Coturnix japonica: one gene and its partner. The protein of the gene in region 2 purifies or fractionates together with the protein of the main gene of each other region. This does not show direct contact. Links are inferred from orthologs where the notes say so. Each region holds a gene or a part of one and is shown on either strand. Other genes may lie near its edges.

Region 1 (4,218 bases), on a different chromosome or scaffold from region 2:
TCTCCAAACTGAGATACTATAACAACAATGATGCTGAATTCACAATGTGAATAAACATGAAGATCTACAAGCACACAGGACAAATGTTAAACTCACGTTAAGCAAATGTTAGCTGCCTGCAAGCAGTGATACAGATACTAGAGACACCTCCGGAATGACATACTAGGAGAGTGGTTAGGCCCTGGAACAGGCTGCCCAGGGAGGTTGTGGATGCCCCGTCCTTGGAGGTGTTCAAGGCCAGGTTGGACGGGGCCCTGGGCAACCTGATCTAGTAAATGTGTATGTTTGGTGGCCCTGCCAGGCAGGGGGGTTGGAACTACATGATCCTTGAGGTCCCTTCCAACCCGGGTCATTCTGTGATTCTGTGAATGACATCTCACTGCAATTGGTGAGAGGTTTTGCTACTGACTGCAACAGAGTCAAGACAGCCTATTTAAAAAGAGAAAGGAGAGAACCTCTGGAGGTATTTAGAGTTTTGCAGCAGCTCCTCGTATCTCACAGAATCACAGAATTGTAGGGGTTGGAAGGGACCTCTAGAGATCATGGAGTCCAACCCCCCTGCCAAAGCAGGTTCCCTACACCACGAAATTCTTTGAGAAAAAAAACTCAGAAATTCTTCAGGTATATAACTACCACATAATTCCGGGGCTGAATTATTGCTTCAGAGAAACACTGTGGAGTAATCTTTGGTGAGTCCACGAGAGAAGAAATTCCATCACCCACACTCCGATCTTGCATGAACTCACCCAGGCCTTTCACTTTTCACCCACTCTTACCCTCTCTCCGGCAGCTTCAATGACACCACACTGAGACGCCAGGCAGAGCACGACGCCACATCACCACACACCACCCCAACCTGGACTACAGAGCCCACCAGGCACCGAGAAACACTACAACCCCCAGCGGCGCATGCGTGTGCCCCGGTGGCGCAGTGGTAGCAATGCCGCGTTGCAACACTGGAGGCCCTGGGTTCGAATCCCCCCTGTGGCGCAAGTGGTAGAAGTGCCGCTCTGCTACACAGGGCTCGAATCCCGGGGGTTGGACTCAATGATCTCTCAGGTCCCTTCCAACCCGCACAACACTGTGATACTGTGTGATGCGCAGCGCTCCCACAGCCCGTTCCCGGAGCGTGGATCCGCTCCTTCCCGCTCGGCTCCGTCGCAGGGCTCCCGTCAGGGCCGGCGACCGGCGGTGGGGGAGCGAGCGAGCAAAGCGGGAGGGCGCATGCGCACAGCAGGCCCGGTCACTGCCGCCTCCGCCCTCGTGCCCGCGGAGTGGCGGCGTTGCCGGGGGCCGCCGGTGCGACGTGGGGAGCGAGCGGTGAGCAGCGAGCAGCGCCGGGCTAAAGAGCGGCTGCACCCGCCGCAAGGCGTAGGGAAAAGCGCTACCGCCGCCCGGGCTCCCCGTCCCGCCCCTCGTTCTCTTCCTCCTCCTCCTTCTCCTCCTCCTCCCCCTCCTCCTCCCACCCTCCCCCTCTCCTCCTCCCGCCGTAGCGAACGAGCGAGATGGCGGCCGCCGGGGCTCTGGCGAAGCACGAGCAGATTCTGGTGCTCGATCCGCCCACCGACCTTAAATTCAAAGGTGAGGGGCAGCGGGGCGCCGGGCGGCCGGGGCGGGGGGTGTCCCGCTTCCCTCGGCCGTCGCGAGGAGCCTCACCCCGTTCCGCGGGGCCGGGCCCTGCCCGCTCGGGTCCCTCGAGGAGGCCGCCGGCGCCGGGGTGGGGGGGTGCCGCCGAGGCGGGGAGCGGGCTCGGCCGCCGCCATCTTGCGATCCCGCGGCGGCTCCGGCGTGTCCGCGGCCCCGGCAGCGCCGCGGCCCGGCCCCCGGCGGGCACCGCGCCCGGTCTGCCCGCACAGCGGCTCCGGCCGCCCCCTGCCATGAGTGCCTACACGGGCGGCTCTGCTGTCAGCTCCGCCGGCGCTGAACGCTGCAGGTAGGGGCGGGAGGGAGGTCCCCGGGCTGAGGTGTTTTCGGGCATGTCACGTTTGTCGGGTGCGCCGCTGTCGGAAGGGGCTGCGGTCGGCGCTATTGGTGTATGGGGTGTTATCCCCTCCTCACCAATCACTCCATTCCCACAGCTATCCCAGCTGTGGCTCCTGCAGAGTGATTCTGGAAAGGTGTGTGTTAAAAAGAGCCAAACGCAACGGCAAAGCAAACGTGCTAGAATGAGATGTTGCTCATATGCTTAGCTTACATCTTTTGTAGCTGGTGTCAACACTCGTACTTGCATAATCCCGTAAGTGTTGGTGTTTGGTTTTTATTAGGCTCGTTTTTCATTGTTTAAGGGGCAATCGAGCATCCTGCCCTGTCAATTTAGAGAGCTGAACAAGCAGAGCAGGTTGATGTTCATATCAAAGACAAACACTATTTCCCCCAGATACTTTTGTCTGGTCCTGGCAATAAGACTGAAGTCTGCTTCATCAAAGGGGCTTTTCACAAGCTTTACCTGTTTTGGAGAGCCATCAAATCACTTAAAACAGAAAAAAAGGAAGAATTCTGTCGTGTCACGCATCTTAACTTCCTAATAGCTGCAGTTTTGAAATTGCACATCCAAAGGTACAACCAAAACCACAGTGGGAGCTTATGTATTATGTTAGAATATCTGCACCTGGGTTTCAATGCGCTGCACTCTTGCAGGAGCAGGTTGAAGCTCCTGCATCTTGTGTTGTCTTCAAGCTGGAAGCAAACCGTGTTTTTGTGTGGTTTGAAACGGTGTTGGTGACAGTGAATACAGCGAGTACTAGACGTAGAAATTGTCAGGATGAAGCTATTGTCAGACAGTGATCGGTGCTGTCATGTGTTTACAAAACACGTTTATTAGGCACGAAGTTTGGTTTCATGCTCATGCACATGGTAGGAAAATGTTGAGCAGATTGAGCGAACCTGAAGTCTGAAGTGTAATGGAACTGCAGTGGGACACCATGGCAAGTGCTCTCTAATACTGTATTATTACTGTAATACGCTACAGCAACACCTACCTATTTAAAGAGCAGCTGGTGCTTTCACAGAATCACAGAATTGTAGGGGTTGGAAGGGACCTCAAGAGATCATCAAGTCCAACCCCCCTGCCAAAGCAGGCTCCCTACACCACCTCACACAGGTAAATATTTTCCACCTGCTTATTGTTCTGAGGTCTTCAGAAAGGTCTGTGGGCCACAGGTAGTCATACAATTCTGAAGTGTTGAATGGAAGAGTTCACTATTGGCTGAAGAGAACAGCAAGTATTATCTTTTGAAACATAATTGGTTACTAAGAGAGTGCATGACTCAGAGTTTCTCAGCGTAACTTCGATGTAGGAAAATCATATGATCTCTTTTTTTTTTTTCAGTGTAGTTGGTTATTCAGAATTGTTTACTGGGATGGTTGTCCAATATTGGTATTATCGTCCTAATACTGTTGATGTCCGGCCATCAGAACAGAACAAATAGCTCCATAGGTTTTCTTGCCTCATTCAGTGACTTGTAGAGAATTTGCCGACCTTTAGGGTAGCAGTGAAATGTGTTAAAGTGCCCTTTTGCAAACAAGGACTTAAATTAAAGGGTTGGTAGAACTTATGTGAGGAACACTTGACAGCACTTAAAATTCATCAGCACTGTCTGATGAAGCTGTTGTTGGCTCATAGAGAAACTACGTGCTGAATTTGATTCCGCACCTTTCAAAAGGAGCCTATAAACTTGTCTCATCGTGGTTAACACGCTGTGTTTGCTTTGGTGTCAGAAAGATTAGAATCCCATTCTTGTAGTACCTGGCATTCCTAGGAATCCACTGATAGCGCGTTGGTGTTGGGCGATTCCCTCTGCTGCTGTGATAGCTGCGTTTCTTTGGGTTGTGGGGCCATCAGGGATGCCTAAGGGGAACCACGAGGCAAATGTATTTTGGAGCGTTGTGCAAATGTGTCAAGAGGAACAGAATTGTCTGTAGGTCTCGTTTAAGGAAGATTATCATCATTTGGAACTGGTTCCTTGTGAGTAAATACCTTGGTTTTTTTAGATCTATTTTAGCTGCTGAACAGTCATGTAGTGGAATGACGACGCTTGAAGTTTTCAAGTCCAAACTTTCTAGTTTTGTGATGGAAACTCAGCTGGTCTTCCTGAAATCAAAAGAGACAGTGATGTAATTGCAAGTTAACTCACATTTAGGTTGTTCTTAGAAAATGGTTCTTTTAAGAAAAAACATACTCCAGATTTTTACCCCAGACATAAGACCTGCTTTTGCGAC
Region 2 (4,237 bases):
ACACAACACAGAACTTCTGCCCCAGTGTGGCTAGTGAGCTGGAGAAACTGAAGACTCACCCTCTTCTTCAGCACAGAAAAGGTGGCTCCACAGCCTGTACAGCTCCCTAGAAGAGAAAGATAAGAGGTCAGGCAGGGTTCTGATACTTGGGACCCTAAGGCACAAGAGCACCCACATTTGTTGTACAGACCCTCCCAACCCTGCTGTCCCCAGGAGAGCTACAAATACCCTTTCCATTGGGGGAAAGAGTCACTAAGGTGCCAGGACAAAGTAACACGTCACTTTGTCCTCTCACAGTTCAGTGGTCACCAACAGCAGCACAGACCCCACAGTGCTGAGGTTCCCCAGACAACACTTGCTCTCGGCCTTACCAAAATTGTTGCTGGGGTAGCGTTTGCGCAGGCGCTCAGTCAGACGTGACACCTTGCTGCGGATCACATCGTTTTTGCTCATAAAACCGTTGTCTGGGAGGCTGAGGTCAAAATCTGCTGAACACTGAGAGCCCTCATCATCCTCCTATAAGGAGCAAAGCTGAATAAGCAAAAAGCAGTGAGGGGCCATAGGGCAGCCTGCCCCAGAGACAAGCATGAAAACAGGATGCTTCACCTGTCAGCATCACAAGCTACTGCCAAACCAGGTAAAGGCTACCAGCTCCAGCTGGGAAGAGATGCCCCCTCGCACACCTCAGCACAGCAGTACTCACCATGACCAGCAGCTGGTTCTCCTTCTCCCGCAGCATGGGACAAAGAGAGGCAGTAGAGATGGAGTGAGACTGCAGAGGTGCCCAGCCCCACTCCTGCCCTCCCCAGGCATCCACTTTGCCCTGTCACAGCAGTCCTCCGCCCCAATTGCCTGACCTGCAGGCACAGCCCACCCCCACCATGATCAAACCTCAATAGCATCCTTGAACTCTTCATCAGGCTCTGCCTCCTCTGCCTCCTCCACGCTGCCAGGGGTAAGATCCTGCAAGAGAATCAGAGCTAGTCCTATCCTATTTCACCCGCCTTTGAAGTAAAGACCACACTGTCAAGGCAGCTCTAGAATGAAGCACCAGCTCACTGGCAGACCCATAAAGTGAGCATCAAAAGGTAGGGAGAGCCCCTGCCTCTCCAGGGTAACTCCACACACATAGCAAGATAGAGTGAAGAACCCAGCAGAGCAAGGCATCCCCTCAGCAGTTCAATATGGAATCCCGAGCCAGGTACACAGGCTTCCAGCAAAACTATTTTGTGTGCAGATGGACAGAAGCAAAACCAGTTGCAAGAGCTGAAGCTGCAGCTCCCACCCCAAGTCTCTGAGCCCTGCCACCCCTCACCTCTGTGCTGGTGGGTGTGGGAGTCCGGTCTGGTGGGGCATCAGTTGGTAGGGGCTTGGCAGGCTCTGGAGGGCTCTCAAGAGGTTTGGTGCCCAAACTCTGCTCAACAGAGGCCTTGAGCTCCTTTATCACTGATAAGAGGAGAACACAGATGGATCAAGGTTGCACTCCCCTTCCTCCAGCCACACAGGCTACCTCCAGGAAGAGCCCTTACCTTGGTAGAACTGGCTGTTGCCCAGGAAGAGGGTGCTGTTGAGGATGGCCATGACCCAGCAGAGTGGCAGCAGGTAAAGGATGCAGACAGAGCCCAGCAGCGCTCCGTAAAACCTGGGAAAGAGCAGCAGGTCAAGAGAAATCAGAAATCCCACAGTCCCTCTCCTTGTCCTTTGTCTGCTCTCCGCAAGCACCAAACACAAGAGCAGCTCTACTGGCCTGGTCTCTCTCCCTGCTAAGCCCAACGCAGGGCACCCAATGCAGCCCTACTCACTGGGAAGAGACAGAAGGGTTCTCCCAGTACAGCACTCGATACGCCGCCTCACAGCTGTAACACAGCCCGCTCAGGAACCCCTCCAGCTGGATCAGGCTGAAACGAGACCACTGAGTCAAGAAACGGCCCCACGAACACACAGCCTGTCCTGCTCCGCTCACACAGCACGACCTAGGGAAGGTGATGCCCCAGGACAGGAGGGTGCTGGACACTCACAAGCACTTGACCTGGGTCAGAGCCTCCTGGCGTGACAGCTGCACTTTGCGCAGGTCCTCGCGGCGCACGCTGTGGTACTTCCTGCGCAGCAGCTCCCGCTCCGAGGGCCGGACACGGCAGGTCTCCTGCAGGTAACACAGCAGCGCCGGCAGCACCACCAGCAGCGCCAGCACCGAGTACCAGGCGGCTGCGGGACACAGCACAGCATCAGCCGGCAGGAAGGTGGGATGGGACACAGCACTGCCCGCATACAGTGCACACATGGACACAATGCACACACATACACACACACAGGTACACACATACACACACATGGACACAATGCACACACACATACACACACATGGACACAATGCACACACATACACACACATACACACACAATACACACATGTACACACATACACACACACCTTGGTCCAGGGTGAGCAGGAGGAAGTTCAGGCCGATGCAGACGATCATGGAGCACAGCGGCCGCTGCCACCTGTGGGACAGCACACAATGAGCTGCCAATGAGCTGCGGGCCCAGCCCCGGTCCCGGCCCCGTCCCGCACCTACCGGAGGAGGCAGCGCACGCCCTCGGCCGCATCCCGCAGCGGCTCCAGGTACATCTGCAGCCGGCGGTAGCTCCGCACGAGGTCCAGCAGGTCGAAGGCGGCGGCCTTGGGTGTCGATAGCGGCTCTGCCGACCCCTCCCCGCCCCCCGGTGCTGCCGGTGCCGCCCCGTCCCCGCCCGCAGCCGGCCCGTCCCGCTCCGCCGCCTGCATCCCGCACCGCACCGCACTTCCGGGAAGCGGCCAGGTGCGCCGTGACGTCACCCGGCGGCGCGGCACGCAGCCAATCAGAAGAGCCGAGGTGGGAGGTGGGGACGGAAGCTCCGCCCAAGCGATGGTTAAAGGGCGGAAGTGGCGGCGGGGCGGCAGTGGGTGTGTTACCATGGGAGGGCGCGGGGTGCGCCGGGCCTCACCATGAGCTGGGCCTCACTCGGCCTCACTCGGCCCCGGCCCAGCTCGCAGGGCTGTAAGAGGCCGGGAGCCGCAGAGCAGCCTGTGCTCCTGCTCCCACCCCACGATGAGCGCGGCCCATCCCACGGAGCAGCGCCCCGTGTCACCGCACACAGGCGTGTCTGGGCCTGGAAGCACACGGTGTTCCCGGCCCTTGTATCTGTGAGCTGTAGGATATGGAGCTGAAGGGCGGGCTGCTCCGTGTGCATGGAACCTCGTGGCACTGAGATGCACGGTGCAGCTGGTACAGCAGAAGGGAGAAGGAACAGTATCCAGAGGATAATATACTTCCAGGCAACCAGTCTGTGGCAGAGTGGAACTGGGTGGGCTTTAAGGTCCCTTCCAACATAATCGCTCTGTAATGATACACAAACACCAGGTTCTGCTCCATCCCTCCCATGGTGTGAGAGGGCTGGGGCAGCCCATCCTCAGGGCAGGGGTTTGAGCCCCTCTTCCAGAGCTCAGCACCCACAGCCCCAGAGCACAGTGGGCCCCTGCAATCACTGCTCCAGGAGGGGTGACCCCGAGGCTGCAGAGCTGAGTGTAAGTGATCATCTCTTGATCCCTGCAGGTCCCAGTCCTGCTACAAAACCCCAGACACCAAGTGAGCATCAGTGTTGCTTTATTTGGAATGTGAATCCAAAGGCACCAGAGAAGGGACTGCAGTGGGACAGCGGCAGGTACAACAGGCAGCGTGGGGTTGTGGGGTAAGGCACTTATGGCAGCGCTAGCCTCCCTGTGTGTGGGCAGCCTGGGCCTTGGGGCTGCACCAGAGCACACGGGAGCCAGCAGTGTCTGGGACCAGCCCTGACACAGGGTGGGGATAGCACATCCTGCCAGGGGTTGGCCCAGGGGCTGGCAGAGTGTGGGAGCACACAGGTATCTGCTGACACAGCCCTCGGTGATGGAAGCTGTGATCTAGTGCCAACCTGGCCCCTCCGTGCCATCGCTGCTGCTAGCCCCACAAAAAGGCACCAGGTGACTGCTGCGGGGGCCACAGCTCTCCAAACTGAGCCTAACACAGGGGCTGGGGCAGTCCTTTTCTGCCCTGAAAGCAATGGCAGAATGTGTCCTCAAGCAGGGTGAGGACAGCTGGTAACCAAAGCAGCTCCAGCATGGTGCTCCTCCAACACTTCCCAGTCTCTGGCTGCCCAGTGCTTCTGCTGATCTCGCACAGCCCCGGCCACCTGTGGGGCTGGTGCAGACCTTACCACC

What was found. Proteins that work in one complex are often made in the same cells at the same time.
Region 1: the proteins of ZFYVE27 (region 2) and VAPA purify together in Homo sapiens (co-immunoprecipitation; 3 studies listed by BioGRID and IntAct, counting the BioPlex papers as one, with this or other methods). This does not show direct contact. The link is inferred for Coturnix japonica from reciprocal best matches to the Homo sapiens genes ZFYVE27 and VAPA.

The regions. Positions count from the first base shown.
Region 1 is NC_029517.1:88,648,713-88,652,930, reverse strand, and holds the start of VAPA (vesicle-associated membrane protein-associated protein A), read left to right. Parts: upstream 1-1,373; 5' UTR 1,374-1,505; coding exon 1,506-1,581; intron 1,582-4,218. UniProt on the Homo sapiens protein: Endoplasmic reticulum (ER)-anchored protein that mediates the formation of contact sites between the ER and endosomes via interaction with FFAT motif-containing proteins such as STARD3 or WDR44.
Region 2 is NC_029521.1:19,457,417-19,461,653, forward strand, and holds the start of ZFYVE27 (protrudin), read right to left. Parts: upstream 2,814-4,237; 5' UTR 2,786-2,813; coding exon 2,577-2,785; intron 2,503-2,576; coding exon 2,432-2,502; intron 2,206-2,431; coding exon 2,019-2,205; intron 1,899-2,018; coding exon 1,803-1,898; intron 1,643-1,802; coding exon 1,530-1,642; intron 1,447-1,529; coding exon 1,316-1,446; intron 964-1,315; coding exon 892-963; intron 725-891; coding exon 704-724; intron 517-703; coding exon 372-516; intron 107-371; coding exon 60-106; intron 1-59. UniProt on the Homo sapiens protein: Key regulator of RAB11-dependent vesicular trafficking during neurite extension through polarized membrane transport. Promotes axonal elongation and contributes to the establishment of neuronal cell polarity.